Mytilus edulis: one gene and its partners. The protein of the gene in region 3 interacts with the protein of the main gene of each other region in a biochemical or structural test. Links are inferred from orthologs where the notes say so. Each region holds a gene or a part of one and is shown on either strand. Other genes may lie near its edges. The genes, in order: cyclin-G-associated kinase-like; dual specificity mitogen-activated protein kinase kinase 7-like; leucine-rich repeat serine/threonine-protein kinase 2-like; protein arginine methyltransferase NDUFAF7, mitochondrial-like.

Region 1 (7,952 bases), about 65 Mb from region 3:
TATTATCTAACTGATTTTTCAAATAAAAAACGCATACAAGGCCAACCGTATACATTATAAAAAAATCTTTTAGTTTGTACATATCTCAATAATATAGTTACATGTTCTGCTATTGAATCATATCGTCTTTCCATATAATAATGCGCTTCCGTATACATTTTTTTATGTAGTTTAAACATATTTTATTGTCCAAACACATTGACAATAGGATTAGACACAAGTTTCGCAACTTAGAACGTCTTCTCCATTACATACAAATGATAAATAACCGAACAAATTTGAAATACATACTAATAACATCATAAACAATATTAATATGGAGACATGAAATTAACAAGAATTTAAACGACATGTCTCATCGATTCCTAAACAATTATCAAAGATTGTATAGCTTTTTTTCTTCTTCATATTATACCACGCTCACTGATGCTTTAACATTGGGCGAATAAGAATGATCCTTTTGGCGTGTAAACAATATAGTTATAAACGAACAGATGTTATATTGATCGAAATGAAATTTACAAATCAAACACATCTACGACCTGAAAACATATTTTTTAAACAAATTTGTAAAAACTGGTTTCACAATTTTAGATACAATTACTGTTCCTACTCTTCTTCTTTACGGTCAACGAGGCTTCAATACTCTAGATTGGTCAGTTCTATTTCTTGTACCAACCGGGAGCGAGTAATCGGTCAAGTTTGACAGTTCAACGAACAATGTAGGGGTCATGAGATGTTGAGGAACTTCCCTGCTTTTAAAACTATTTACTTCTCCCACAATACACTTATCATAGCGGATACCAGAATTGAAAGCTACTTCTTTTCTTTTCTTCGTAGATTCCTCCGGGTCACAAGGTAGTAAAATATAGACCTTATAATTGAAATTAAACATTAATATAAAAGAAAAGGTGGTAAGGGGGTATATTTACAGCATATTTACCTAGTATTGGTACTTTTCTTCATTTATTTGATCATTGTATTAAACCTATTATTTTATATGGTTGTGAGAACTGGGCACTATTAATATAACCCCTAAGAGAAAATCATCATCTCTCTTTGATATATTTAAGGACTGGGAGTCTGAAAAACTTCACCATAAATTTTGTAAATATATCCTTGGTGTTACTAAATTGTGCACTAATATAGGAGTTCTTACAGAACTAGGAAGATATCCTCTTTACATAGACATGTAAAAACAAGTCTTCATGTATTGGCACAGACTTGAAAATTCCTCATCAAACCTGCTGAATAATGCATACAAGGAGTATACGCATTTACATAGCTTAAACAAAGATAATAATTCCTGATACACTAATATACTCTTTTATGGGGAAAAGTTAAACTTTAATTTGGCTTATTGTAAAACCCTAAGTAAATATAAATTCATAAAATCACTTAAACAATGTCTCCGAAACAGCTTTCTTGAGACTTGGAAAGAGACCAGAGATTCTTATTTACAGGATAAAGGTAAATTGAGTACTCATTTTAAATTTAAATTCTCATTTGGTAAAGAAACCTATCTATCTTCTATAAATTCTTAACAAATTTAGATTAAGTAATCACAAATTTAAAAGAGTTGAAACTGGTCGTCATGAACGCAGGGTAAACATGTCAGGTAAAGTAGAGAATATTCCACGATGTGAAAGACTTTGTCAATATTGTAATTTGAATGTGACTGAGGATGAACTCCATTTTTTGTTGGAATGTCCTTTATATGTAACTTCAAGAACCATTTTACTTAATGATTTATTTATGGAATATCCAAAACTAAGAAGACTTAATTCGCAAAACCTATTTATATGGATAATGACAAGTGATGATGATAATTTTATTAAGAATTTATGCAAATATTTGACTTCAAACTTAGAAGTGAGAAATTATACTGTCAAGTAAAAATTAATACAGGTTTTAATGATAATATCTGATGAAGAGTTATCTTTCTTTTGCCGAACTGACAATGTCGTATATATATGGGCGTTTTTCAAAGCGTAACTTTCAGACCGTCCTAAAAATGGAAAATCAACTTGTCTAAAATGTAATTTCAAGAGTTATTTTGAATGCCTCTATTATAGACCTGTTTGTAAACAAAAAGTGCAATATTAAATACTCTTTAATAAAATGATATAATTTTCATAATTTGTGTACTATTTCGTAGGGGACAAAAACGAAACTGCTTCTAAACACACATATTTTTGCAATTTTAAATGTTTCCTATAGACGTTCCAGTTTGTTTACTTTATATACTAGAAAAATCTCATTTTTTTCTGGATTGGAGAACCATTTTGTACCGATAAAGATTAGACAGTACTTCACATATGAAGGTACACTTGACTCATGTTATGTAGTGGACATTTTGATGCGTTTCGTAGTTGACAAAACCGTATCGTAGCGGACAAAAAGTTTCGTAGTTGACATCAACCCTATTCTATGTTAATAAAAACATAATAAAAATAACATGAAACTAACCCTTATTATTTGTTTTGCACGGATATAATTGAAAAAAAAAGAGTAAAAAAAAGACTGCATGGTAGTGGGAGTGTCCACTACGAAACGTTTTTCTCCCATACTTGTTTCGTAGTTGACCGTTTCGTAGGGGACATATTAACATGTTTTAATTTCCCCCCACAATTCCTATATTGCAATAGTAACAAGACTGATTGTATTCATCAAAGCATGTTTTAAGCTGTACACTGATATGTTTTTCATAATTTTAAAACCAGATACTGAAGGAGATTTGACCCGTTTCGTAGTGGACATACACAAAAATACGGTATCACTCTGGTCCATTTGATGTGCTCAATTTTTCTTACCAACGATTAAATTGCCGTTATAAAAGCATCACTTCTTTTGTAAGACCCTAATGTTTATATCTCTTGAAAACAAAAATTACATTGATTTTATAAAACTGTTTATTAGCAATTTTTAATGACTTCGTTTCGTAGTGGACATTTTGTCAGGGACACTCCTTCTGAAATTAAAAATCCTATGTTAAAAGCTGTTTATTAAAATGATGTTGGCTCTAAACATACTTTTGAATTATTAAAGAACTTATATTAAGTAAAAATAGCATTTATTTCTACATTGTTTACGATATTTTAGAGTATGGATGTTGAACAGGCGGTCTAGGGACATGCCATTTTGGTTGTTTTCTACCATTCAGGAATCAATATCTTATCAATCCCTCTAAAAACTAAACTGCTTCTTTGCTTAAAAATGTTAATTCTAATTCAATGTACTGACTGTACAAAAAATTACTTGCAAAGATCAAACACATTTTTTTTAAAGTGGCTAGGACAAGAAAGTGCGTTTTTATTGAAAAACGCCCATATACTGTTCTTTTGTTTTTATATGAATCTTATTATATATTATATTCATATTGTTTCTAAACATGTATTTATGTTTTGATTTGTCTATTATGATTTATTTGTTTGTAATTGATATGATAATAAATAATTGATATGCCTATAAGGGCCCTTTGATTAGGAATTAAACATATTTTATTTGATTTGATTTGATACAGCAGGCCATCATTTATCTGTTTAGTCATACTATTAAGAAATTAGCTATTATAGCTATGTTAAAAAGATATTGATAACTGAAAGATTAAAATAAATAAAATTGGTGCTCAAAAATTTACAGTGGATATATTTACAAGACAAGACAAGACTAGACAATATTTTATTTAAGTCTCACCTCTTCAATATATAAAACATGCAAACAGTTGATAAAACAATGATCATAAAACATACAAGAGCCACTCTAAAAAGAGTTATGAGAGACTATCTAAAATGTATATACAGTATTTACACTAAAACTAGCTATATAAAATACATTTTCTTTTACATCAGTTTAATTACTTGCATTTATTACATGTATAGGTAACTCATAAACTGTTAATGTGACTTATTTACAGTGACTAAATCATTAAAAATTGTTACGATTGGATGTATAAAAAAACAGTAGCTTCCACATGTTTGTACATGATATATGTAATAGTATCCTCAATCTGTGGTCCTACTAATATACAACCTTGACCCACACACTCAAGACTAAGTCACTTGAAGTCAATGATTGAGTCAATCCGCTGTAACTGAAACAATTTATGGTCTTTATTGCGTTACTTTAAACTGGTTGTTTTTTTCGGTTATATGTCATCTCATAAGGTCGTAACTAATTTCATTTTTAGTTATATATATTAGAAACTCTTGGTTTTTATAAATCGAAATCAATATTTGGTTTCTGATAGCTCACCATCTTTTAGTGTGAGAATACATTTATTAGTTGAATGTTTATGATTATCGCAAATTAAATTACTTCCGGCAAATTGACGTCACCTCTCTACGCCTGTCACAATGTCCAGATAGTCTAAATCATAAAGCAAAAAGAAATGACAGACTTTTTCAAGTCGGCGTTTGGGATAATAAGCGGTGGTGGTCCCGGTGGTGCTGAGAATGATTTTGTTGGTCAAATGGTTGAGCTGGGAAATCAGAAACTCCGTGTGAAAAGGGTCATTGCAGAAGGTAACTTCACGACTTTAATATCAACATTCACACTTTCGTGCCTTTTATGTTTGTGACTTTGCAAACAACCGAGAAATCATCTATTATGAAGCGTTAGAAATCTTCTTCTTGGACGCCTCTTTCCTCTCTACGTCAATTTACAATTATCAATTAATAGATTATTAGAATTTTAAGTCTGTCATTCAGAATATTGATGTATTATAAATCGAACTGTTCTTTTAATCTGAGACAAGGGGTCCTACTAGAAAAAGTGCCTGTGGAAAAAAATAGCCCCTGGCGAAAAGAAAAGGTGCCCTGTGAAAATATACAGATATTGTACAATGTTGTATTGGCATGAGACAACCTTGTGTCGATGAAATAAGTTATGGACATTGATTTTTTTTAACTTGAGACAAGTATTTTGCAAATTCAGATAATAGACATTTGTAGTAAAGCGCAAAAACAATAATGTATGAATGCTATTTCAAAAGAGATAATAATGGATCACAGTTTATGCTGAAGATTCATCAAATGTAAGACATCAAAAGTGCATTAATTTCGGTTAAATTAATTAATATTTATTTATTTATTTATCTAAAGCAACTTAAATTTCACAGATATGTATTAATTTAACCGAAATTAAGAGTTACACATAATAAATCAGCAAATAAAGCAGTACTTTATGTGTACCATATAGTTAAAACAAGGGGGTAAAAAGCAGGAGTTTGGTTTAAATTTAAAACTAAGCATTAAAACCCTGATAAGCATAGCCATTAAAACAGTTTTAGTTTTATAAAAAAAACCTTAATAAATCTAGATACTATATCAGCATCTGCATATCATACATTTACTATTGTTAAAAAAGCGCTAAAAGTAAAAAGCTAATATTAAAACACTGATAATCATAGCCACTAAAACAGTTTCAGTTTTAAAAAAATTGTAAGGGTACCGCAGAACCCATCGCACCTACTTTTGCTAAGAATCCAGGATCATAAGTTTATGAATCTAGTAATTGTTTTAAAAACTTAAACTGCAGACTGTATGTTTTTTAAATTGGAAGAAAAACTAAGTCCATTTATAAGTAAAATACAGATAAACAGGTTCAAAATTTGAACAAAATTTCCTTCTAGATACTAGCTTTTGATGATCATAAACAAGCTTCTGTTCAAGTTTGGTACAAATTCATGATAGTGAAAGAAAGTTATTAAAATTTCTTAATAACATGGTCATAATATGAAACTGGAAGGCTGGGTGTCAGAATAAGAGGCCATAAAAGGTCCAAAAAGAAGCATTTTTCTAGTTTACAGACAATAACTTGTGTTTAAGTGTATGGATCTCTCTGAAATTATACTATAAGCTTTCATAATACAAAGGTTAGGCTGGAATTGGGTTTTGGGGTTCTTGGTCGATGGGGGTTTCTATAAGTGAGGGGCCAAAAAAGGGGTCCAAATAAGCATTTTTGTAGTTTTCAGTCAATAACTTGTGTTTAAGGGGGAAAATCTCTCTGAAATTTATACCACAAGTTTCCATTCTTCACAGGGAAGGTTATTGGGGTAATGGATCAAATCATTAAGTAATTAGGGACAAAAAAGGGGAGAAACAAGGTTTTTTTCTGGTTGGAGGTAAAAGCAGTGTAAGGGAGGTAATCCAATTCCAATTAAAATTTAGAGAATACTGTTATATATATTTATATATATATATGTTTGATAATGATTATTTGAGTACCTCCCTTACACTGCTTGAAAATTATGTTAAAGGAAGTGATACATGTAATTGTCTTGAGATGTGTTTGAGTTCTGATACTTGGAAGATTCTTTTAAAATTTTGAGTTCCTACTGTTTTGACTGAAAAGATTATAGCTTGAATAAAAAAGAAATGAATGTTCACCGACGAATCAGATTAATTTACATTCATTTTAAAAATGAGTATCTCAAACACTACTTCGCGGATCTGCCATGCGCTGAAGAGAAAATCACAAGAAATCTACGCGAGATTGCGTTTTCCTTCATTCATGAATGATCATGAATGAACATTTTCCCGCTCTACTTTTACCTGTTTACTATATCATGTATATGTACTTACGTAAACGTGGTAAAATCCCGAGAGTATCGAAAGAATCGGGAATGACTGATTAAAATGCGAGAACAAGTTGACATTTTGACCAAGCCGTCGGATAATTGAAAAGTGATAAGTGATACTATAAACAAAACATAGGTGAAGAATATAAAATACTCGATAATTAAAATTAAATTATACATGTCTTACGTCTCACGCCAAGGACGAGTAAAGGTAAATACCGGATTGGATAAAAAAAATAAAAATTAAAAAATGCATTGTTTTTGTCTAAACATCGATCGGAAGATTTTGATGCCAAAAATCATTTGAAAACTTAATTCCCGTTATTTAAATACTAATTGTTTCACATTCCAAGCATGCCCAAGTGGGTCAAACTGACAGCAGAAAAACATTGACCCAACGTCAGTTCTTCTTCAGTCTTCTTCCAATAATTTACATCGTACCACTGGTGTATTATTGTAAATTCGTATTAACCCTTTGGCTAAAATGGCTGCATTTTCACCCCAAAATTTAGATAGATAACAGACAAACCTGTGCATCTGGAAAAGTTTTAAGGCATACCATGCCATATATAAATAGATTTCAATTGCTTTGTCATCCAAACACAGTGGCAATGATTACCGTAATATATCAAATGAATGGCTTAAAACAAAAATTCTCAAATGTTATTTACTCATAAGACAATGCTTAATTTCACAACAGCAACTAAAATGTGTTACAGGTTATAAGCACCTCTATGAATCTAGTGTATATAATTTTTTTATTCCTGTGGTCATACTGCTGTTGTTATGCTCCCAACGTATTGATTTTTTCCTTGTTATGCTGTAAGTATGTACGTCCTTCCCTTATTTGTACGTACATGTACCTCCATACATCCCAAAATTCGTTTCTGTTCTCTTACTTTAGTTTGCCTGAACCAAATTGTATGAAACTTATACGCAATGCGTATAACCACAATTCACAAGTCAAGTTTGAATTTTAGTTTCGTCCCTTTTACCATTCTAGAGTTTTATGCTACTTTACAAATAGGAAAGTTTCTGGAAATTTTAGTTTCTGAACTCTAACTTTAGTTTGTCTTAACCAAATGCTATGAATCTTATACACACTGCATGCTCATTACCACAAACACTGATCAAGTTTGAATTTTAGTGGCTATAGTTATACCATTTTAGAGTTATGCCCCTTTACATATGTAAAAAATTGCTGAATATTTTCTTTCAGTTATTTAACTTTAGTTCGCTCAACCAAATGTTATAAAACTTATACATTGTAATACTTTTAACAATAAAACAAAGACCAAGTTTGAATTTTGGGAGAGTAATTTTTACTGTTCTAGGGTTGTGCCTCGTTACAAATGGAACCAGATGCTCCGCT
Region 2 (8,282 bases), on a different chromosome or scaffold from region 3:
GAATAGAAGTAGCAGTTTTAAAAAAATGATACAACAAATCATTTAGAACAGCATACATCACTCTGATTCGAACAAAAAATTCTCTGAAACTGATATTATCAAGATGCTTGATTTCTTGATTGACAACATATTTGTTACGTTCGGGGGACGCGTTTTTCAACAGACTGTCGGCATTCCAATGGGAACAAATTGTGCCCCTCTACTTGCCGACTTGTTTCTTTATTATTATGAGGCTGACTTCATGCAGGAACTTCTTAGGAAGAAAGATAAGAAGATTGCAATATCCTTTAACTCTACTTTTCGCTATATAGATGATGTTCTTTCACTAAATAATTCAAAATTTGGTGACTATGTGGAACGCATCGAGCTAGAGATAAAGGATACTACAGATACAGTTAAGTCGGCCTCATATCTTGACTTACATCTAGAAATTGACAATGAGGGTCGGTTGAAAACAAAACTTTACGACAAAAGAGATGATTTCAGCTTTCCAATTGTGAACTTTCCATTTCTAAGTAGCAACATTCCAGCAGCACCTGCATACGGGGTATATATCTCCCAATTGATACGATATTCCCGTGCTTGCATTTCCTATCATGATTTTCTTGATAGAGGGTTGCTGCTCACAAGGAAGCAATTAAACCAAGAGTTCCAAATGGTGAAGTTGAAATCATCCCTTCGTAAATTTTACGGACGCCACCACGAGTTGGTTGACCGTTATGGAATAACCGTTTTACAAATGATATCGGATATGTTCCTTACGTTGTAAATACAATCCCCTTCCCTTTCATGAATGTGACCTACCGAATTATACCATTTACCGGATTTGTTATCACATAAGCAACACGACGGGTGCCGCATGTGGAGCAGGATCTGCTTACCCCTCCGGAGTATCTGAGATCACCCCTAGTTTTTTGGTGGGGTTCGTGTTGTTTATTCTTTAGTTTTCTATGTTGTGTCGTGTGTGGTGTTGTTTGTTTGTCTTTTTCATTTTTAGCCATGGCGTTGTCAGTTTGTTTTAGATTTATGAGTTTGACTGTCCCTTTGGTATCTTTCGTCCCTACTTTTAGAAACTGTCAATGGACTAGTTTAATTAACCTTAATGGGAACGCATGGATATATAAAAAAAACAAATGGCACGGCTCTTTCAATTCACTTATCTGTCACGCTTTCCGTGTGCTCTGTTTGATTTATTTATCAATGTCAGGATCTGGCAAACTTTGACATTAAACACATCAACATCCACTGGATGAAATATTTTTATTTTCGTCAGTTTATTATAAATGTGTAATAAATATAGAAAAAGGGTGCATGCACGGCTAAGTTTAGTATATATAGATAAAAGAAGATGTGGTATGAGTGCCAAATGAGATAACTCTCAATCTAAGTCTCAATTTGTAGAAGTAAACCATTATAGGTTGAAGTACGGTCTTTTAAGGGCCCCAAAAATGACCATTCAAACAGGAATGCATGCATTAATCCAATAAGCTCGATAATATTTAAATTTCAAGAAACTCGTTTCATATATAGCTAGTACTTTACATCTAGGACCAATTAACAAAGGTAGCAGTCTTAGTTTAACTAATTAAGCAATATCTTTGAATTCTCTATTATGTCATTTACAAAACACGTTGGCTCCAAAAAAAAAGTCAAAACGTTCTATAAGGTCAACTTTGTATCATGTGACGAGTTTGAAACCACCTTGTTTGCCACAGTAAATGATACAACACTTGGACATTTAAGTGACATAATCAAGCCATCGTTCAGCCTTCCTAATGCAATTGGCCAGTTATCTTTATTTTGTTCTTGTTTCGTTTTTATTTCGTCTTTTCATTAAATTATTATGCACGAACTCGAGTGCACGAACAAGTTTGGAATTGTTGTCAGGAGATAAGGGTTGCACTAATGACAGGATGATTGCCCGGATAGTGACAGGACGGTTGACCGGACGACATATAAATAGTCATAACTTTTTTGTTATCCGATAGATTTGTTTAATATTTGTAAACCTGAAAGATATTAAACTATTTTTTATGAATATAAAAAAAAAAGAGGAAAAATATTTATTTTTGAGCAAAAAAAGTTGACCGGACGGTATTCACACTCGCCAATATACGCTAAATATATATTCAACTGGTTGACGACAAGTGTTATATCTCTTTTGTTTTACAATATTTGTCCATGAAACTCAGGAATCTGTGAGATTTATAAATATATTATACGAAAATATAAACTTGATTGCAAAAAAACGTGTTTTTCTCAAAAAAAAAGTTGACCGGACGGTATTCACCCTCGCCGATATACGCTATATATATATTGAAATGGTCGACGACAAGTGTTGATATCTCTTTTGTTTTACAATATTTTATCATGAAATTCAGGAATCTGTGAGAATAATAAATATTGGATACGACAATATAAACTTTATAGTGAAAAAAAAAGTTTGTCTCCAAAAAAAGTTGACCGGACGGTGTTCACATTCGCCGATGTACGCGTTAATTATATTGAACTGATACAAATAAGTGTCAATATCTTATTTGTTTTACAATATTTTTACACGAAACTAAGAAATCTACGAGATCAATAAATACTTGATATGAAAATATAAACTTTATAGTAAATAAAAATGTTTTTCTTCAAAAAAAGATGACCGGACGGAACAAACATTCGCCGTTAGCTATATGCCTTAATATAAGTTGGTAGACCCAAGTGTTTATATCTCTTTTATTTTATCAAATTTATGAAATCTGAGAGATCAATAAGTACTTGATATGAAAATATAAACCTTATATCAAATATGTTAAATGTTGTTCTTAAAAAAAAAAAGTTGATCTGAGGGAATTAACATTCGCCGATATTATTATTTAAATATATTGAACTGATCAACACAAGTTTTAATATCTCTTCATTTTTATAATATATCTGTCCATGAAATGAAATAATTTGTGAGATTAGATAAATATTTTACAAGAAAAATAAACTTTAAAGTAAAAACAATGAGCCCAAAATGTTTATGTGAGCGAGTTCACCAATGCATATTAGAAGTAATGATATTTAATCAAATTAATCTAATTTTGACACTTGTTGTAATCACCAATCAAGCCAAATAACATGTCATTAAAGTTTTCACACCTGAGATATCAAATACATTTAATTGAATTACCTTATAATCAGTTGGTAATTAGTATCCAATTAAAGAAGAAATTTTATGAAGTTCAGGATTTCAGATTAACATTTAACTCACCTAATAATAACTATTCAATTGTTCAGTCATTTATGCTCTGACTTTCAACCAGTTCAGATCACACAAATTAAAAGATGAATTAATCAGAAAGTGGTCAAAACCGGTAGTAGTATACTTTGAAAAGATGGAAAAGGACATTCTTACTCACAGTGGCAAATGGGTAATTGATAAATACCAAAACCTTTATGATCCATATTCTGGCATTACCAATAATGCATGTGAAAGCATGAATGCAGTTATAAAAAGGCGTAATGAGAGAGCATTTGATTAAATGCCTTGAACTGGGATACTTTTCTAAATTCCCTCAATCACTAAATTCTTGTGCTGACTCAGTCAAGATGCACACAAGAAAAATTGAATGTAGCTGTGTTTGTGGTAAGCCTGATATATTGGAAAATATGTTTGGATGTGAAGGCAAACGAGGACGTGTCACTTGCAGCAAGTGGGTTCACCAGAGTTGTTCCAATGTTTTAGGGGACTGGCTCTGTGATGAACACCGTTCAACTGTCTAATTTGTATGAATTTGTGTTTGTTTCCTGTATTTGCTTTGTGAATGAACCACATTTGTTTTTTTGTAATAACGATGTAATTTTGAAATAAAAGGTATATCCTGCTCGAAATTCCCACTTCCACCTCCCCGTTGGTGAGCAGGGGGCAGAATTATTCTGGCAGACGGAAGGGGTCGGTTAACAATTTGTTGCCGCCAATTTTTACCATTTGAACAAATTGAAACAATTTCATTTATTCGATAGTAATATAAACTATTAACTATAAACAAGGATTTCTAACTATACAAATCCTTGCTATAAAGGTTATTTTTTCATAAAATATTGCTATTAACAATATTATAACCAAAGAAGAGATATTTTAGTCTTGTGTCGATCAGTTCAATATATTAAGGCATATATCGATTGAATGTAAAATCCGTCCGGATTTAAATATATAGTTTAATTTTTCGTATAATATATTTATTCATTTCCAATGTTCATAAATTTCAGGGACAGATATGGTAAAAAAAATAATATTAACACTTATGTCAATCAATTTATTATTATTAACATATATCGGCGAATGTTAGCTGTCTGGTCAACTTTTTTTTTAAGAAAAATAAGTTTTTTATCATAGAGTTTATATTTTCATATCATATATTTATTTATCTCGCACATATCTCAGTTTTATGAAAAAATATTGTTTACAAAAAAAATATTTACATTTTTTGTCGCTCAGTTCAATATAATCAACGCGTACATCGGCGAGGGTGAATACCGTCCGGTCAACTTTTTTTGCAGATTTTTTTTCTTTTTTACTTTAAAGTTTATATTTTCGTATAATATACTATTCAATCTCACAGGTTCCTGATTTTCATGTACAAATATTGTAAAACAAAAGAGATATTAACACTTGTCGTCGACCATTTCAATATATATATAGCGTATATCGGCGAGGGTGAATACCGTCCGGTCAACTTTTTTTTAAGAAAAACACGTTTTTTTGCAATCAAGTTTATATTTTCGTATAATATATTTATAAATCTCACAGATTCCTGAGTTTCATGGACAAATATTGTAAAACAAAAGAGATATTAACACTTGTCGTCAACCAGTTGAATATATATTTAGCGTATATTGGCGAGTGTGAATACCGTCCGGTCAACTTTTTTTGCTCAAAAATAATTATTTTTCCTCTTTTTTTTTATATTCATAAAATATAGTTTAATATCTTTCAGGTTTACAAATATTAAACAAATCTATCGGATAACAAAAAAGTTATGACTATATATATGTCGTCCGGTCAACCGTCCTGTCACTATCCGGGCAATCGTCCTGTCATTAGTGGTTCCCAGGAGATAACTGTAAATATTTAAAGCGCACAAATGATTTACACAAGCAGTTTACCGATTCCGATTTTATCATGTGATCAAAATGTCTTCGACTCTACAGCAAAAAATAAATGAGTTAGAACGAAGATTGAAGCTTGAAAACAAATCAAGGGATCATGATAGAACAAAACCTATGGTTATGGGAAATGATTTCCCAATTTCGAGACCACCAAAGGCAGAATCGGGACACCCTAGTCCTGCTAGAAGACCTAGACCTGGGCGTACGTTTTCAGTTTGTTAAACATAAACAATGGAATTTATTGCCCTATTAACACAATTTTGCCGACTTTATCCCTTCAAACAGTCTATTGTATTTAAAACTATACAATTCTTTAGCTTCTATTCGATACATTAATCTTATATTCAAATTATAATGAAATGACAAACCTGGAATTCAGCATTATCAGATTAATATTTAGCTTTCATCCAACTATTTGTTATCATTTGACTGTTTTGAGCTTGTTGCAATAAAATTAGTATTAGATTATGTAAGCAGAATTGAAAATAAAACATTAATAGAAGAAGTAAAAATATTTTCGGACAGTCAAACAGCTATTGGAATTTTAACATTAAACTGGAAAATTGAAAATCATCGATCCACTTCACATGAAATTATTTCCCTTATTAAATCAATCCAAAAACACCATGGAATAAAAATTAATTTTGATTGGACCCCAGGACATGCAGATGTAAGAGGAAATGAAATAGCTGATAAACTAGCTAAAGAGGCAGCTAAAGAGGCAAATCAAATTCAAAAAGAAGCTCATATTACAGTAACTAAACAAGATATTAAAACAGCAGCAAGAATTTTAGTAAATAAAAAGTGGCAACATAGATGGGATAATAGTGATACAGGAAGATTTTATTATAACTTTCATCAGACCGTCAGCAAAAAATCTACATTTGATTATCCAGAACATAAAACAGCAAAAATTATTAGAAATTTAAGATCCGGATACTACCTAAAAAATTACCAAAACAAAGTCAATCAAAATATAGACCCCAAGTGTGAATGTGGTCAATTAGAAACTGTGGAACATTATTTATTATTTTGTGAAAATTATGAAGAGGCAAGACAGAAACTTATACATGAGATATACTTTAACACAGGATCGTTGCATATTGATTTGGAACTTTTATTGTCAATGGAAAAAAAACGACAATGTCTCCGTCTCTAATGAAACACTAATGCGATTGTTGGGTGACTTTATTCATGTTATTTGCGAGTCGCGCCGGTTTGATTAATGTAATGTTAAATTTTTTAATTTTTTTTTTCCTTTAAATTTTCATGTTAATTAATAAATGTATATATCTTTTTAATTTTTGTAAAAATATGTTAAGCAGTTGCCACCTAATAGTATATATCTTAAAGTACAAGTGAGTTGTTTACCAGAGTGAAATATATACACGCTAGACTTGAAAAATTACAAGGGAGACAATCCAGTGTCAACAGCGACACCTACAGAATACAGAATACTGTTTTGCAAATATCAAGGATTTGTATATACAAATACTTGCAAATATCATTATAAGCATGATAAAAATGTGAGCATTTGAAGTATTAATTAATGATTCCCATGGATGAATTGATTTGAGTGGCATTTATACAGTGCCAATTAACATATACATGTATATGTACAGGTAGACTACAGTTGGATTGATTGTTTGATTTTGCTTTGTCCAGTGGCAAATTAATCCCTTGTGGCAATATTTACCGCGTAAATTAGATATTTTCCAATTTGGCCGCCCTAAGAAAGTCTATCAAAGCATTTCAATGCTGTTTGGGTAAACATGGCCTGAATCGTGCTTTAAAGTCTATCTTTGAATTTTGTACAAATTCTACATAGAAAACCATATCAAGGAATAAAATAAAATAATCAGCCTATCTTCCTACATGTATACCTATATCCTGAAAACCTCAGATGGGAAGGGTTAAAAAAGACATTTTTAATGTTGGTCTAAAAAGTAAGATATTTTCAAGATTCTGAAAGGCAAATATGTTTTCTGTTCAGTTACTATTGACTTCAGATTGATGGAATAGGGTGGTACAATGTAGAACACTTTAAAGCAATCAACAAAGGCGAGGAATCTTGCACAAATTTTATGTAAATAGCATTAATACGGATTTGATAGGGATTCTGAGGGCAGCAAAATCAGAAAATCACTCGAACATGTGCTCAAGCACAGAATCTCAAAATTATAGGAATTTATTTTTCGCTATTTGACAAAGCAAAAATGATCAATCAATCAAACCATAGGTACATGTACATGTAAAATGAACCTCATTAATAATTTGCTTACAATAACTATTGTGAATTTTGAAGTATTGACTAGAATATAAGATTATTCTATAATCGTTGGGATTACATGTGTACCATGAAAATCTGCATACAAGTATATACAGATATCAGAATGCAAGTTTTATTATTGGGATACTCACTCATCACATTAGTCACATCCTCATTTATGTTAATCTTGCAGTAATTTCTGAAATTTCATTATATTTAGTTTAAGACTCATTTATTTATTTTTTCATCAACTGAGTTTGGATCATTGTACAAGTATCAATTCAAGTCTACAAGTCAGACTTCTATACATACTTATAATATTATACCATTGGCAGATGAAAAATTAACCTGACCACAACGGTGAACAAACTGTACCCCATCAACTAATTACCGTAACTTTCTTTCTTTAAAAAATTGAATCATAGTTATATGTAAATTCACAAGCTCGTTCTAGCATCACTGATGAGTCTTTTGTAGATGAAAGCATGTCTTAAAAACAAAATGTTCAGTCAGGAATCTGATGAGTTTATTTTCTTCACTCTAGCATGACAAATTGCAGTTTCACTATATTAACATTTTATCAATGCAAGTGAGCCTCTGTATAGAAGTGAATGTAGGACAGGAAGTATGAAGATTTCATTGTAAACAAATATTGTGGTCCTTAATGCCAAGATAATGATATACAGAAGCAAAACACAGATGAAAATGATACAGACATGAACCACATCATCTTTTAATTACCTGTAACTCGCATGTGTTGGAAATGTAGGCAGTTTATTGTTTGCCTCTGTCTATTCTTATGTGTTATTGTTTTGTCATTTTCTGTTTTAGTGGGTGAAATAGGGACTGCATTTTCTAGGCCAAGTTCTGC
Region 3 (8,616 bases):
GGATCCAAAATAAAACAATTCAAACGAGATAACCGACTGCCTGGTTTATGTAAACAAAGAAAGGAAAAACTAATATGATTAACAGATTATAAATTGTTTCAGATAACCTATATGCATGATATGCATTTTGAATTGACGTACGTTTGACCGAATTACATACCTTGATAGGATAATTTCTTTTAAACTACCGGTTTTTTTATCCGTTTTCAGAGGTGTTTACTGAGTGACATTTAGCTGAAATTAGTAAGTACTGGTAAAAGTACTGGTTACTATTAAATGTCATAAACAATATTCGTTGTTGATGACATAGTTTTGACATTTTACCGTTTAATGCTCAAAAAAAGCATTTGTTCTATTGTGGAGAGTTGTCTGTCTGGCATCATACCACATCTTCTTTTTTATATTAGCCGTTTTTACGCTGTTTACTTTTGGACAGAATAACAATTTAAATCCGAAGTCTCTGTACATCAGCGAACCCTTGCAAACACTTTTATGGGGTCCGCAAGCAGCATTGTGCGAGACTAAATTTCTGCCCTTAACTAAATACCTTCAATTTGTATTTATGGGCATTCCACATTTCATGTATGTTCACCCAGCCTGTCCATCTACTTTGAAGAACTAACTTTTACTTAATACATAATTAAATTGTTGGTCTCCATGCATATTGATATTTGCCATTGCACATTAAACCATTAATCATCAATTTAAAGTGAGCAATACGGAGTCCATGCTACGGTTAAGCTTTATTCTGTAATACATGCTCTTTTATTTGAAGATTCTTGCTTAAATTTTGTTAATAGCATTGTACATATATTTATGTAGATTTCTTTACAGGTATTGCATTTCGAACCATTTCTTTGCGACCAATGGTAATTTATGGAGAGCTTGATCAACATTTTATACCTCAGGCTATAGAAGCTGGACTGCAAAACAAAAAGATCATGATTGATTTTTGTGGCAATGGAGCATGTTGTCTTGTTTACGTTGGAAATATAGCTTGGGCTTTTGTATGTGCTTATAAAGCAATGAGGTCAGATAAAACGCTTGGAGGCGAAGCCTTTCTTATTAAAGATAACAGTCCTAATAAATCAATGATGAAGTTTTGTAAACCATACTTTGATTCATTCAATATATCATTGTATCGGTCGTTTGTTCCTTATTGGATTCTGTATGTACTGATAAGTTTTATTCACATTTTACTGTTTTTAATTTCACCATTGAAGAAAGTGCAATTTCCAGTAACAACAGCAACACTTATATATACAAATTTAGCGCTGTCGTTCGACGATTCAAAAGCTAGAAAAATGTTACAGTACAAACCTTTGTACACTCCCGTAGAGAGTTACAAATGTTCACTTAAGTATTATAATTCACTTAACTTTGATAATAAAAAGAAACACTAGTTATATTTTTCCTATAATCTATTTTGATTTTTAGTTATGGCCACACAGAAAAGTGTCAATAAATAAACTGCACCATACAAATGAAAACAAGGAAAAAAGATAAAACGTAATGTCGTGTAAAACCCCAGTCGTTTGCATAGTAAACCCCAATAGCATCAATTATATGCCAAATACGTATCACAACCAAAGAAAACATTCCTAAAAATTGGCGATACTCAATTACACAAATTGAACAACTAATATGTGCCTTGAAAAAAAGCAACTTGACAAGCAATCAAATTGAGAATGGAAATGATAAATGTGTCGAAGAGGGACGCCCAAAGAGCACAAAAAACAGCCGAAAGGTTTTAAACACAACGAGAAAATCCCGAACCCGGAGGCGTGCTTCAGCTGGCCCCTAAACAAAAAAGTGTACTGATAATAGACATCATACTAGACTCCGAAATATATAAATGAACTAGAATAGCCCGAGGCTCCAGACTTGGGACAGGTGCAAAAATGCAGCGAGGTAAAACATGTTTTGTGAGATTTCAACCCTCCCCTAAACCTGTAACCAATATAGAAAAAACAAACACACTACAATATGCACAATAAAACTCAGTTTAAAAGAAGTTTGAGTCTGATGTCAGAAAAGGTAACAAAAGAAACTAAACAAAATGACAATGATGCATAAATGAACAAAGGACTATAGCTACTAGCAGTTGCTGACATGCCAGGATCGTATGAAATAAACATAATTATACTTAAACGGTAACTGTAGTTGTTTACCTTCTACGTTATATTAGTCTCTTATGGAGAGTTATCTCATTTGCAATCATACCTTCATACTTTTGTATAAATCTTATTGTGACAATTTGTTATAGTGTGGAATCGTATCCGGTCTCAATCTGTGAAGAGATAATGCGAATATTACGGGTTGTGTTCGTTATGACCCATTTATGGGCATTATGTTTTCTGATCTGTGCGTCCGTTCGTTCGTTCGTCTGTCCCGCTTCAGGTTAAAGTTTTGGTTAAAGTGTTTGGTCGAGGTAGTTTTTGATGAAGTTGAAGTCCAATCATCTTGAAACTTAGTCCACATGTTCCCTATGATATGATCTTTCTAATGTTAATTTCAAATTAGAGATTTTCCCCCATTTTCACAGTCCATTGAACATAGAAAATGATAGTGTGGATGGAGCATCCGTGTACTGGGGACACATTCTTGTTTCTTATTCATTTGTATCTTCTAAATGAATTTTTGAGATTAAGAAGAGTAAATTACTGTTGCTTCTAAGTTAAATAAAACAGACATGGCCATGACTTTTGGCATTTTCAACTGAGCATTGACTTTGGTAAATACGAGAGGAAGGCTATGCTATTGCATGATAAAAAAAGTTACATTTGCCTAACAATTAAAACATTCATGTTTATCAAGTTAAAATCTAAACCCAACTTATAAAGGTCTGCGTGAGGAGCGCAATATCGGATTGTATTTCCTTTTCACGACCAATCTTGTTACCGCATTGCTTGCAAGAGACTACTTGAATCATCATCGTTTTATGGTCAAACCCATGTCTATAATGTTGAATCTCAATATCATATTCACTCATCATCTCTAAGCACCAGGGTTATAAACCCTCGGAGATTGCAATCGCAGTAGCCATGTTAAGGAATTCATTGTTGATTATTCGAACAATACAGGTTACTCAAAGCTAGTTACATCTGAAGTGCCTAAGTAAGATATCGACTGGAAGTACTAGTAGCTTTTTTTGTGACACACTATTTCATTTTGAATATGAAAACAAGCCGATACAACTTTTTATAAATTGTGCATATTCTATTATCTGTTTGTGATAACACATGCAGCCCCTAAATATATTTTTCTTTCTTGTATCACTGTTATAAATGAATGGTTTTAATCACGGTTTGCCAAAATTACAGATTTGGTCAATTTTGATTTTAGATTTTCAAAAAATCTAAATTGATATATCTTTTAATATTGTTCTCTGCTGTTTATTGTGTGTCATAATGTAAATATGTTCGTGTTGCTATAGCATTTAACTACATATACTTTGCAAATACAGATTTCATTCATTCAAATATATGGAAGAGGAAACACATCTTTTAAAGTGATGCCATTAACTGTCCTATAGTCTACACATAATAGCTGACTAAAACACAACTACAAACAAAACAAAACTAAACAAATCCGTATAGAAGAATGCTCGTAGTTCATGAAATATAACCTTCTACTGTATACGCAGATACGATCTTTCATACATGGCAAAATACAAACCAGTATGAAATTTTGATACAAAAAACCTAAAGAAACATTGTAGTTTTGATTTCAATTGTTAAAGATCTATTTGATGTTTATATTGCAAAAAAACAAATTACCAGGATGTAACAAAAATTTAACACAAGTCAACATTAAAATTTAGTAAGCCCATTAGGGACGACATTAAAAGTTCAATGAAGGATAAAAAACTTAATTCAAATAGTTTTTTCACTGACCCCCCTACCCCCTATTAACTTAATTTGGGAAAAATTGATTGACCCATGTGGATATATGTAAAAATCAATGTCGGATAGCCAAATCTTGCAGCAGTTCAACCCCCACCCAAACTATTAAGTTTTTTTGTTTTTTTTTTATCTTACATTGATCTTTTGATGTCGTCCCTTAGCTGAGAAGAAACAAGATGTAAGAACAGTTCATAAACTTTTTAGTTTTACAAATGGCGTTGTCGTTAAGTGTTGGATATGAAATGCCACTATTTATTAATTTCCTACAATTCAGTGAATACTGCCATAAACTTTATCGAGTTAGTAATGTACGGTCAAAGTTGTGTGAAGACAATTTCAGCCTTTCCAAAAATTTCATTTCTATATGAGTAACATTATATGCATGCCTAGTTTATAATTATAAATGGTTTTTTTTTTTTTATTAAAGTGTGTGTGTCAGGCCTATCCACCACAGTGAATGGCTGGTAAGTTTGGGATATTTGACTTAAAGTTAAAGTAGATACCATCAAAACTGTTATCATGCTAGAATACTTGTTTCCGTTAGAATTGTTTTACATTTGTTGTGCCGGTGCCTTTTATAGCTTTTATGCGGTATGGATTTCAAGTTCTTATTGTAGAATGTCTGCTTACGGTAGCCTATAAATGCTAACATCTAAGATCATCTAAGTCATTGGGTCAAACAACATCTTTTTATTTTATATGAAAAGAAGTATAAATTATAGCTCAACTTTATAACTGAAAAATTAATGACCACTGTATATTCCTTCAAAGTTCTTAAAAATTTAGAGTTTCTTTCTTACAGTCAATCATATGAACAGTATCCGTTGACTTTAATTTCATGACAAACCAAGACAAAATTTTGATGAAACATATAAAAGGTTCTTTTTTTTATTATTTTCATTTCTTTGTTATAGTTATTGTCTTTAATTTGCTTTACTTCGGGAGATAAAATTCATCGTTCATGTACGTTTGCAGTCTTGTAAACTAGTACAAAGAGATGTGGAGCAGCAAACAAAGAAAATAAACAAAAAATACCTCAAACTTCAACCGAAAGGGGGGCAATTGATCCTGCTAGGAGCAGTATAAAGACATGTAAGCTAAATTTCATATAGTAAGTTATTCTGTCTATAAATTTCAGCCATACTATTTGCCCTTTAACATGTTAAATATCGCCAAAAGATATGTGTAAAAGTGGGTATGTATGTACAAATGCTATAAATACATTTGGGCTAATCGGATACCTATTTAAAATTTTATCTCACATGATCTTAAAATCAGGTGAATTTTATTTATAACACAGGAAATGGACAAATCAATTATGGTGTGTATATTCATATTTCAGGTAAATACAATATTTACGTTCAACGTTTTCCAATTCAGACCCAAAATAAACACTCTTAATTTGAAACACAATCTACACCGCCGCATATATTTATTTGTGAACAGGAAAGAAAATACAAACACTATAGACCATCTTTTACTCCTGCTATCAAACTCAAAGAATAACTTCTCTGTATAAATAAGATTCAATGAATTATGAATAAATAAATGTCAACATACTATAATATATACGTGGTAGGTCATCACAGAAACCTATAATAGAGAATGTTATTTCAACAAAATGTGTAAACTTATGTAATTACACCCAATTCGACGACCTCAACGGTATACCATTGGCATGGTTTGCTAGTACATGGCCGTATATCGAACTGTGTGTTCCTGCAAGGACCTTGCACATATACTATACTATTCTCAGCGAGAACATGGATAGTCTATACTAACTATATTAGTATATAATGTCCCTGGATAGTCAGTATAAGAACTACCCGGTATCCTTACGTCTGGGACCAGATATATATATGTATTATATATCTTTACTGCATGGGACCTAAATGAGGACTTTATATTGCCATTATATCATTAGATGTATCAGTATGCCCAGTGAGGTTATGTCACGAGGTCATATAACCTCCTTGGTATGCCTGAGCTTGTTAATAAACTGTCCTAAATATGGAAAATCTCTAAATGGAACCTCTGAATTATTTCCCAGCACAAACTCCTCAGCACCTTTTATCACGGTCCAAAAATCTGTCCAAAGCCTTTTAAAGTTATTTAAATATATGTTTCGAGTTGATTGTGACGTCCATTTTCACACTAGAACACATTTTTGTCTAGTGGACAGCCAAAGCAGCCGCGGGTATAAATCTTTTTTTTTCTAATATAGGATTTCGCTATATTTTTCTATAAATGACGGGAAAATACGAAAACCAGTAAGAAAACTTGAACATGACGCAGCGGCATTAATTGTGCCAGGTTGTGTGGTGTAACTTCAGTGTTTATTGTGTAACCCGTTTTCGCCTCCTGACAGAATGCATGGGGTCATTGCCGTTTTCAAGATTTGTCAGAGGTTTGGTGAAGCATGGACTTTTCTATGCTGTGTTTTGTAGACTGTTGTTTGTCTTTCGCTTCGTTTTTTAAGCATGGCTTAGTTTTCCTTCACTGATGATGTAGTGTTGTCTAACAACGAAAATGCGCGTTCATAATATAAAATCAAGATAACTTTAAGCTTATGGTCTACACAAGTTTCATTTGAATCAAAGACATATATATATAGTATCATGTACGTCTCTAGGTTGGATAGACAAATTATGCTAGATCGATACCTGTGTTATATTAATATATTTTTTTATAAACAAGTGTTAGTTTTGAGATATCTAAGTCTTGAAGTTAGAATAAATAGCAAACCAAAGTCTTAGTTTGTGGTCAGTCCACTCCTGTCACCTTTTAACGATTCTTTTATTTTCTTTTGTTACATCTTCTGACATCGGACTCGGACTTCTCCTGAACTGAATTTTAATGTGCGTATTGTTATGCGTTACTTTTCTACATTGGCTAGACTGGTAATGGGGAGGGTTCAGATCATCTCATAAGCATGTTCAACCACGCCGCAATTTTGCGCCTGTCCAAAGTCAGGAACCCATGGCCTTTGCTAGTCTTGTATGATTTTTAATTTTAGTTTCCTGTGTATAATTCGGAGTTTGGTATGTACTAGTGTACATATTTTTAAGGGGCCAGCTGAAGGACGCCTACGGGTGCGGGAGTTTCTCGCTCCTTTGAAGACCCCGATGATTGGTGGCCTCCAGCTGTTGTTTACTCTATATATATATGGTCGGGTTGTTGTCGCTTAGACATTATCCCCATTTCCTTTCCAGGCACTCGTCTCAGATCCCTATATACCTGAAGTTATAATAAGGAGGCCCCTCATGGGGGGTCCTAGTAATCACATAATCACCATTTTTTTGCCAATATAATCACATAATCATTAAATATTTGCTTATCTTTAGTAATCAAATAATCATAAACTAAAAATACAGTCCTAGGTAATCAAATAATCATGAAATATTTGGCTTAATAATCAAATAATCATTAAAAAAACGGCCAAGTAATCACATAATCAAAAACCCCATGAGGGCCCTCAATAAGGTATATACGATTTTTTTTTCTGAGACAAGTGCCTGTGCAGTGAGTGGCGGCTCCAGCCATTTAAAAAAAGGGGGGTCCCAATTAACCCAGAGTAAAGGGGGGTTCCAACTATATGCTCCCATTCAAATGCATTGATCGGCAAAAAAAAAGGGGGGATTCCAACCCCGGGAACCCCCCCCCCCCCCCTTTTGGATCCGCCACTGAGCACTGTGTAGTTCCTTTCTCAATTTTAGATAAATTATGTAATTGCAAGCACTATTTGGTAGTTTCTTTCCCCGACGCTTCGAGTTCCCATTTTGTTTGCAGGTCCAAAAGATTTTTATAGAGCTAGAGGAGATGCTATAAGTAACAAGTCTTGGAAGTCCAAATTTGACATTCTTCTTCATCTTACAGTAAGTGGCCAAGGTCAACTGATTGACCATGTTGACTATCATGTCACAAAGTGACATTTTTGGAGTGCGCCCATGAAAATAATTTTAAATTTATATATCTTTATAGGTGACATGAGTAAAACTTTATTTTGGTTCGGCAAATTGACAAACATATTACAAAATAAGCTCTATTGTATTTTTTTCTTTCAGATCAGAAACCAGACTGAGTAACATATATGCCTCCCCCTTTTTGAAAGTAAATGGTCAGTCCCTAAGTTAAAAATATAACATGATTTATGATTTTTCTTTTATCATTTTATAATTGCTACTCACTGGCACTGCCATGACTTTCAGTCAATTGAAGAACATCGCCTTCTGGCACTGTCATGACTTTCAGCCAGTAGAAGAACATCGCCTTCTTCTTTGTCATTCAGTACGCCATCCTCATGCTGATAATAATGTGCCTGAAAACAATGATGTCACTATGTTGTGCATATGTGGCAGGGCATAATGTGGGTTTTCAAAATTCTAGTTGCAGGCAAATATACTGATACACATGACATCTATCATGTTGATATGAGAAGATGTGTTATGAGTGCCAATGAGACAACTCTCATCCAAGTCTAAATTTGTAAAAGTAAACAATTATAGGTCAAAGTATGGTCTTTTGCACCAAATACAGCAGGTTTAAACATTTTAATAGGCACCAATTAAAAAAATTGTAGATTTTCATCCCCTTTAATGCCCACTTTTAACAAAAGTATTCTAATGAATGAATATTCCAAAAAAAGTCTATTGAAAGACCAATTCCTGCCAAACTTAATTTCACCCCAAAATTATCTTTAAAAAGCTGCTTC
Region 4 (8,451 bases), on a different chromosome or scaffold from region 3:
TTCGGTCTATATGTCATGTATGTTATATACATTCATCTTAATTTCTTTCTAGAGAATACATGTGATGCTTTTATTGCATTATAAGTTTGTGAAAATTATACTTGTCATCTGCTGGAGTCCATTTAAGAGGACCTTAGTGTTGCTCACTTCACCTTCTACTAAATATTTGTTATCATTTCTTACTATAAAAAAATATAATTATGTTTGATGTTTATATTTTAGAGGAATAGATATTTGCAAATTGGCCAAACAGAATGAAAAAAATATATACTACTTATTAATTTTTTTTTACAAACTGATGAAAGTAAATATCTTTTATTTTAGACTGCTGCCTAATTGATGCACCTGATAAAGAAAGATCTCAGATTTAGTCATCAGTGAAATGAATTTGGTACAATGTATGTAGTTTAAAGGCAAACATGCGGAATTTTTTTTACAAATTCAAAATAAAGAATTACTGGTCGATCCACAAGAATATAATATAATTCATTCAAAAAAGTAGAGGATGGACATTCAGTGATAACAATAGCTAGCCTCACATTCCCCATTTGCATTAGGTGGGTCAAATGAGACAGGTTGGCTTTTATATGAAAAATAAAGTTGAAATGATTAATTATTTCATATATTGAGGAATGAAACAAAAGATTTTTAGAAATATGTTTTTATTCCATCAATATGGTTAATACAAAAACAATTAAAAATGTCAATTATATTAATAATGGTTACATACAATGTATATGAATATGTCCACTAAAATATATAGTAACAAAAAGTAAAATCACAAAAATACTGAACTCAAAGAAAATTCAAAATGGAAAGTCCCTGATCAAAAAGCAAAATCAAAAGCTTCAACACATCAAATGAATAAACAACAACTGTTACATTACTGACTTGGTACAGAATTTCCTTAAAGTAGAATATTATCAAAATTGCTATAGTAAGGAAGGTAAAAAAATATAGGTGTCTACTAAATATCAGTCATCATGACTATATATATTGTCAGGGCTAGCTTGATCATGTTGATAATAATATACATGTAAGAGATTCTGTATTTTTCCATGTTTTCAACATTTACCTTTTACATTCCCCATTGGCCACAGAATCTCATATTATAAGATTTTAAAATAGTTAATAGTTATATAAGACACATGTTGTGTTAGGCTCTGATCCTGTCCATAACGTTATGGTATGGTATTAGTTTTCTGTTTTGCTTTTTTCCAATCATATTGTGTTGTAAAATGATGCCCTTTATGGGTTCTTGATTAGATTAATAAAATTTTTATCTTATCTTATCTTAAATAACAATAGATATATAGGAAGATACATAATTAAATATTCTTAAGGAGGCTCGCAGGTACAAAAATTTCAGCAAAATAAATATATTTGTTTTCTCATTACAAATTTTATTTACAAAATGTATTAAACTATTACCGTAGTTATTACTTTATGATATGGTACAAAAATCAACCATAAAAATCAATTCGGTTTGACCCTAGATGACTTTTAAAATGTTTATATCATTGAAAAAGCTCCAAATTATCCCCCTTTGGTGCAAAAATGCTGTTTTTTTACATTAAAATTGATGTATCTTTTTAACTCAATGGTGACCTATATTTTTCATTATTGTTTTCAAATAAGCTGTACACAAACTAAATAATTGTAAAATTTAAGCGATTTCTGTTTCTCCTATTAGTTCAACAGAAAAAAAGGACATTAATAAAATGTATGCTTCTTTAAGAGGCAGATTGTGAGCTTAAATGAACGGTGAACCCATTTTTTTATTTCATTTTTCTATTAATAGGAGGCAGATTGTGAGCTTAAATGAACAGTGAACCCATTTTTTTATTTCATTTTTCTATTAAGTATATGATAAAGTTCATCTAACAGGCTATTATTTGAACTTGGAATTATTTTTAATTATGGAATTTGCATAATTTCTTGCGTTTAAAATTTTTAATAGATTCCATGTTTATTTGGTATTATAATCTTTTGAGCGGTTTTAAAATAACACTTTCCATACAATGTATTTTGGTTAGATAGTGTTGTGCGCAGCACAGTACATTCTATTGAAAATATACTATTTTCTTTGTAATAAAAAGTGTTGTGCGCAGCACAGAACATTTCAGTACAGAATAAACATGGAATTTATTAAAAATTTCAATAACAAGAAATCAAGTAAATTTCATAATTAAAAATAATTCCAAGTTCAAATAATAGTCTGTTATTTATAAAAAAAATATAGCAAAATCCTATTTTTCAACAAAAAAATGATTTATACCCACGAGCCCCCTGTTAAAAATGCTGTATTACTGCAGAACTGACAGACGTTATAGAACATTTTTATTTAGGAATAATAAGCTGAAAGATGACCTGACAACCCCATGATTTTACAAGAAAACATCAAGAAAGATGAGAAAGCAGCATACATGTTTCAAATTGTTTCACAAAAAGGTTGATGCAGCAACTAAAATGTACTTCTGGACTTTAATGTGGAGATTGTAGAAGGCATTATCTTCCAAATTTGTTTTGAAGTAATAACACAAGGAAACTGTACACACTATTTAATGTTTTATAGAAAAAAAATGGAGATTTTATTGGTAGATATAGGAAGATGTGGTGTGAGTGCCAATGAGACAACTCTCCATCCAAATAACAATTTATAAAAGTAAACCATTATGGGTCGTTCTTTTAACTTGAGAAGAACATTCCCCATTTCCATTTTCAATTTTATTGATACTGTTATTAAATATTAATATTGTGTTTGTTGTTTAGGATGTCACTTTTGTTTTGGGTGACTGATTTTTACTGAGGCTTATGGTGGGATATATATTTTAATTGTAATGTCTTTTTGTTGGCTAAAGGTGCTAAAATGGCTACATTTTCCTCACAAAATTTACTCTGTGTACAGACAAACCTGTGCATCTTGAAAAGCTTAAAAGCATAGCATGACCTGCTCTGGATAGATAAATTTTGAATATGTTTCATGTTTTAGAAAAAAATATAAGCTTAACAGAATTTTGCAGTGCACTTTTTTTCATTCCCCCTGAAAGTGCCAAAATAAACTAAGTTGGGAAAGTGGTTTGAGAACTTCCCCACAGGTAATAATCGAAGTGACCTGTATTCATGGTATTGATTGACATGAACAATAGATACCCGACAATAATTGGCAATTTAAAATGTGTACCTGAGTGGACCATATCTAGTGAAACACACCAGTTTGTAAATTTTACCATCTTTGGCAGGGGCAAAAAAAAAGCACACTGCAAAAACCAGTTTAGTTTTGAATTTTCTAAATCATACAATACATTTGAAATTTATTTATCTACAAATGTAGGGCATGCATGCTATGCCTTAATTTTTTTCCAGATGACCAGGCTTGGGTTGTCTGTACTCAAGAGTAAATTTAGTTGTGTACAGTAAATATTATAAATAAATATTGATAGGGCCTAGATATTTTTACCTTTTATTGTGTAAATTATGTTATCAGTCCTTAAATATTTTAGATTTTATCCGTGTACAGTGAATTTAAAATTTTAAAGTTATTTGGGGAAAATTTTTAGTGTATAAATTTTAATTAACTCCCGTCTGGATGATATCCTTTCTAAGGAGGTGTTCCATAATTGGAAGGATTTACGTATAGAAGAAGAATGGTAATTTAAGTTCTCCTCTTTCCCAGAATAGTTGACAGCTTCCTGAATTCCCTTATTTTTCTTTTCTGGGAGAATAATTTATGTCCTTGCAAGCAACATTAAGTAATCATCATCCTTATATTAGACAACTATAAACATGTACTGTAATTTGTAAAACTATAGTATAGAACTTAAAAGAAAAACAAACATCGTACCATCTTCACGGTCATACTCTAGACACAGAGTAAGCAAGTAAATATCTTGGAGTAACCATCAGTAACAACCTAACATGGGATAAACACATAGACAATACAGTAGGCAAAGGAAACAGAACTTTGGGGTTTATACGTAGAAACCTCAAAGGCTGTACAAAACCGGTAAAGGCAGCTGCATATGTGTCCATGGTAAGACCTGCAGTGGAATATGCAAGCACAGTATGGGACCCAACCGCTCAAAATAAAATCAAGGCAATTGAACAGGTTCAGAAAAGAGCTGCACGATTTGTGAATAACAACTACACAGACCGAACACCTGGCTGTGTCACAAATATGGTTAAAAATCTAAAGTGGGAAAGCCTCGAAGAACGGAGGAAAACAAATAGATTGTGCATGCTATTCAAGATCCAGCATGAACTTATAGATATAGACCGTCACCAATATTTGACGCCGAATGATAACCGGACCAGAGGTAAAAACCGCTTCTTCCAAGAAAGAACAAGTACAGACACCTACGGCCAATCTTTCTTCCCGAGGACAATCAGGGACTGGAACAACCTACCAACAACAGTTACAGCGACCAACACCGTTGAGGGATTCAGAGCTGCCCTGAAGGCATGCTCTGAAAGGAAGTAGGAAAACCAGTTGTAAATAATTTTAATTGTATATTTTTCTGCGAACGTTTTAAATGTAATTTGTAAATAGCCAAGAGAAATCTTTCTGTGTTGCCCGACACTGCGTAAAGTTTTCGCGCGGAACCATTAACATTCAGCAATGAATCCGGTTCCTTACCTGGAAGAAGAAGAAGAAACAAAACAACACTCAACAGTGTCTAAATGTCTTACCTTACAAAAACATCCCTCTGAATTACCACTGACAGGGCCACTACTATAATTTATCGCTACAAACTCATGTAAAAATAAAATGTTCAAAAGTATGACAAGCTTCATATTAAATAACACTTTTCACGAAACTTCACATGATTTGTGTTTCCCGTGTTTATTTTGGTGACCTGCAACACCTCGGCGGATGATATTCCACCAAAATATAGTTCTTCTATTATGAAAAGTTTCAATAATCATTTCAATATATAAAAACTCGATGACACACAATATATGTTATATTATCACAAAGCAAATGATATTTAACTTTAATTTCTTGAATACTACAATATTTTTCATTGCGGATAAATATTTTAAAAACGAACGTGGCATTACTTGAAAGGATCTAAACAATAACCGTAACATAACCACAGGCAGAAGGGACCATCTCAGTAATATGTCATCCTTGACATTCAGTAAAATTACACACTGTGTATTGGGACGCAATAGTATATATTTAGTATTTACAGGGTCATTTCTGTTTGGGAATTTTGTTTACTGAAGATAAATTGATATTGATGATATTATTCATATAATTAAAAGTGAATCATTAACACTGAATATCTCTGATCATGTCTGTTAATAGTGTTGCTGAGGATATAGTCAACTAAACCATATTATTTTCTATGATGCCTTAAGGACTATGTACCCTTGTGTTGATTCAATACTTTAAAACATATGGAAATTTTATAGAAAATCCACAGCCTTCCCCCTCGTAACCTCATAATTGGCAATTCGATGCTTGATAGAGGATTATTGCATGCAGTGCTAGCAATAATTTCTTTAAAACTAGTTTATAAATTTAGATATTGGTTAAAACAAATATAAATATGGATCAATTCAAGTACACCCTTTAATGACTCAGCACAAGGTGTTTTGGAATTTAAAAGTTGTTTATGACTTTTTGTAAACAATAAACACTAGCTGATCATAGAAAAACAAGTTAGTAATCTATGTTTAAAATTTTATAACAAAAATCTTAGTATTAAAGTCTACAAAAATCTAGGTTTTATTTTCACCAAATTCTCTTTTTCTACTAAATGCAATTAAACTAAAAATATTAATGCTTTGCATGAGGTTTCCCCTTGATACATGTATATGTACAATTTGGTTCATCTTTATTATTCATTATTTTTGCTGTTTTGATACTATTGCAGTTTGAAAAGTTTGTAATTGACAGGCCACAGAAGGGGTCATATACCTTATTTACTTCAGTTTTCAAAATGCCACATAATTGTTTATACTAACTGACTAAGTTACAGCATGAGATGGGATTGGCTGTTTTGCGAATTATGTTTTTCGCTGAAAAGATTGTCATTTATATATCATGCCCTTATGATAGATAGATAGATACTGGTACTTTTATTTTTTAGTTGTACTTGATATTGTCATTTATGTAGTATGTAGTACTACATTTAGCCTTTTTTATAATAATGAACAGTGGTCATTTTTAAAAATCCTGAATCTGCCCCCAACAGTAATTAAACCAAATAGTAAAATGATGGGTTAAACCTGGTTTGATAGCTACATGTAGCTCAACCTAAACTTTATGATAGGATAAGTTAAAATAGTTGGTTAATATGAGAACTAGGAGATGTGATATAATTGTAGTTCTCTTTCTCTCCAAAGATGTCCTTTACACATCATTGGAATGAAACATTGGTATGAATGAAAAGGGACTGAGGGTTATTGTAAATAAGACAGCAAACCAACAAACATCACTTAGATATACTATTTTCCATTGCAACAAAAAATATCAAATGGCTAATACTGTGGATTCATTTATTTTTGTGGGTATCAAATTTCTTAGATTCAGTAAACATTGCATTTTTGTGGATATTTAATTTCGTGGTTTTGTCAATTTATACATACAAGAATATAGAACATTTGTATTTGGTTGAACATTTCAATTTGTGGTTTCGTCTAAACCAAGGAAATCCATGCAAATTGATATTCCACGATTTAAAATGAATCCACAGGAAAATAAAGTGTAGTTTACAAATATCTTCTGTTAATCAGATCATAATTCTAACTTTTCATGTATTACAGGCTTAGGATTATTCAAACATGGAAGAAGTTACTGCACAAAGCTGAAGGAAAATAAAATAATGAAGGGCTTGATGAATAAAATCAAGGCAACAGGTCCCCTTACAGTTGCTGATTACATGAGAGAAGTTCTTACCAGTCCATCAGAGGTATTGATAAATAATAAGGATATGTGGTATAGTTGCCAATGAGACATGATAAATAATAAGGATAAGTGGTATAGTTGCCAATGAGACAACTATCCAATAAAGTCCAAATGAAGGATGTAAGTAGCTGTACGAGATATTATATTCCCCTGTAATTATATGTTCTCATTGGTTTTATAACTTTGGAGATAAATGTCTTATACACAACATCAATGGCAATAATACGTGACAGTCGCACTATGTTATATAGGAAATGATGTTCATTTGTGAAGGACAATGGTTGAACATGATGTAATGATTTTATATATGAATGAAAGGGAACTGAAATTATTTTAAAAACATTTAATGTTTCGAATTTCTATTTAAATTAGCTAACATGGCCTGTTGGGTTTTGTGAGCTTTTTGCCAACATTTTGCATCCATCCACTGTCTATAAACTTTTCTTTAAAACTTTCTCCTCTGAAACTGCTTGATAGATTTTAACGCTGATTTGTCTGCTTCATCTATAGCATGTCTTCTGTAAATTTTATGATCTTTCTCCTAGTTGATCCACTGACATTGCCGACCTGTTCATAAACAGAATATAGATGTCTAACTGTAGTATTGGCTTATTTTATTAAAACAAATATAGCAAATAAAGATAAAATGACAAGGTTAAAATGGGCAGCATTCAGTTCTATATAAATCTAGTCTCAAAATTTTTGAAAAATCTATTCACCTATTTTGGAGTTTTTCCCCCCTGAAATGTTGCATATTTTTCGTTGCATCATTCTCAGGAACTACATCATACGGATTTGTGAAAAAACTATCAGGGTTTATATAAGTCAGCTATACCTGCTGTGATGCGTTTTCAGATTTATCACTAAATCGCTTCCTGTTTACCAAACACTTAAACATTTGGGTGGGGGTATCATCAGTGAGCAGTAGCTTGCAGTTTCACTTGTTATCACAGAACTTCTAGATAGAGGTTAAACATGTTAAATACCATGGATAAAGATGGACAATACCATGCTTTCTACAATGTAAAACTTTTGATATATTAACTTTGCCTGTCTGTCAATGACAACTCTTGATTATTGTGATGATTTCTATTACAGGGATATTATATGACAAGGGATGTATTTGGACAAGAAGGAGACTTTATAACATCACCTGAAATCAGTCAGATGTTTGGAGAGGTATAAATATCACTTTTGAAAAATAGAAAAATTTGATACGATTTCATAAGCATTAGTTTATATTGACCTCAATAATTGAAATAACATTTAATGTAACCCTAACTTTAAAGTAACCTTTGTTTATAGTTTTAAACTGTTTGATTGTTCATCAGTCTGTCTGTCATCTCTGCATGTTAAATAAAACTTTATATCAGATTGCAACCTTACTTGGATACATGGTCACACATTGATTTTGAAGTCACTACATCTTTAATAGATTATTGTCATAGTAACTTATGATAGACTGTATTCATGAAGGAAAGTGATTCATGATACCAAATAGGTGCTGATTCAGACAGTGGCTCAACTGATTCCTC

The links.
Region 1: the proteins of leucine-rich repeat serine/threonine-protein kinase 2-like (region 3) and cyclin-G-associated kinase-like interact on a protein array, tested with the Homo sapiens proteins (3 studies listed by BioGRID and IntAct, with this or other methods). The link is inferred for Mytilus edulis from reciprocal best matches to the Homo sapiens genes LRRK2 and GAK.
Region 2: of the proteins of leucine-rich repeat serine/threonine-protein kinase 2-like (region 3) and dual specificity mitogen-activated protein kinase kinase 7-like, one has a biochemical effect on the other in vitro, tested with the Homo sapiens proteins (2 studies listed by BioGRID). The link is inferred for Mytilus edulis from reciprocal best matches to the Homo sapiens genes LRRK2 and MAP2K7.
Region 4: the proteins of leucine-rich repeat serine/threonine-protein kinase 2-like (region 3) and protein arginine methyltransferase NDUFAF7, mitochondrial-like form a complex in vitro, tested with the Homo sapiens proteins (2 studies listed by BioGRID and IntAct, with this or other methods). The link is inferred for Mytilus edulis from reciprocal best matches to the Homo sapiens genes LRRK2 and NDUFAF7.

Annotation. Positions count from the first base shown.
Region 1 is NC_092344.1:120,085,691-120,093,642, reverse strand, and holds the start of cyclin-G-associated kinase-like, read left to right. Parts: upstream 1-4,291; 5' UTR 4,292-4,390; coding exon 4,391-4,523; intron 4,524-7,952. UniProt on the Homo sapiens protein: Associates with cyclin G and CDK5. Seems to act as an auxilin homolog that is involved in the uncoating of clathrin-coated vesicles by Hsc70 in non-neuronal cells. Expression oscillates slightly during the cell cycle, peaking at G1.
Region 2 is NC_092345.1:19,165,222-19,173,503, reverse strand, and holds the start of dual specificity mitogen-activated protein kinase kinase 7-like, read left to right. Parts: upstream 1-5,113; 5' UTR 5,114-5,166; coding exon 5,167-5,344; intron 5,345-8,242; coding exon 8,243-8,282. UniProt on the Homo sapiens protein: Dual specificity protein kinase which acts as an essential component of the MAP kinase signal transduction pathway. Essential component of the stress-activated protein kinase/c-Jun N-terminal kinase (SAP/JNK) signaling pathway.
Region 3 is NC_092344.1:55,467,180-55,475,795, reverse strand, and holds the start of leucine-rich repeat serine/threonine-protein kinase 2-like, read left to right. Parts: upstream 1-5,162; 5' UTR 5,163-5,247; intron 5,248-8,616. Other genes in the region: 3 beta-hydroxysteroid dehydrogenase/Delta 5-->4-isomerase type 1-like, read left to right, coding at 835-1,403. UniProt on the Homo sapiens protein: Serine/threonine-protein kinase which phosphorylates a broad range of proteins involved in multiple processes such as neuronal plasticity, innate immunity, autophagy, and vesicle trafficking.
Region 4 is NC_092346.1:102,471,611-102,480,061, reverse strand, and holds the start of protein arginine methyltransferase NDUFAF7, mitochondrial-like, read left to right. Parts: upstream 1-5,041; 5' UTR 5,042-5,122; coding exon 5,123-5,174; intron 5,175-6,774; coding exon 6,775-6,920; intron 6,921-8,014; coding exon 8,015-8,095; intron 8,096-8,451. Other genes in the region: ERO1-like protein alpha, read right to left, coding at 4,690-4,794. UniProt on the Homo sapiens protein: Arginine methyltransferase involved in the assembly or stability of mitochondrial NADH:ubiquinone oxidoreductase complex (complex I).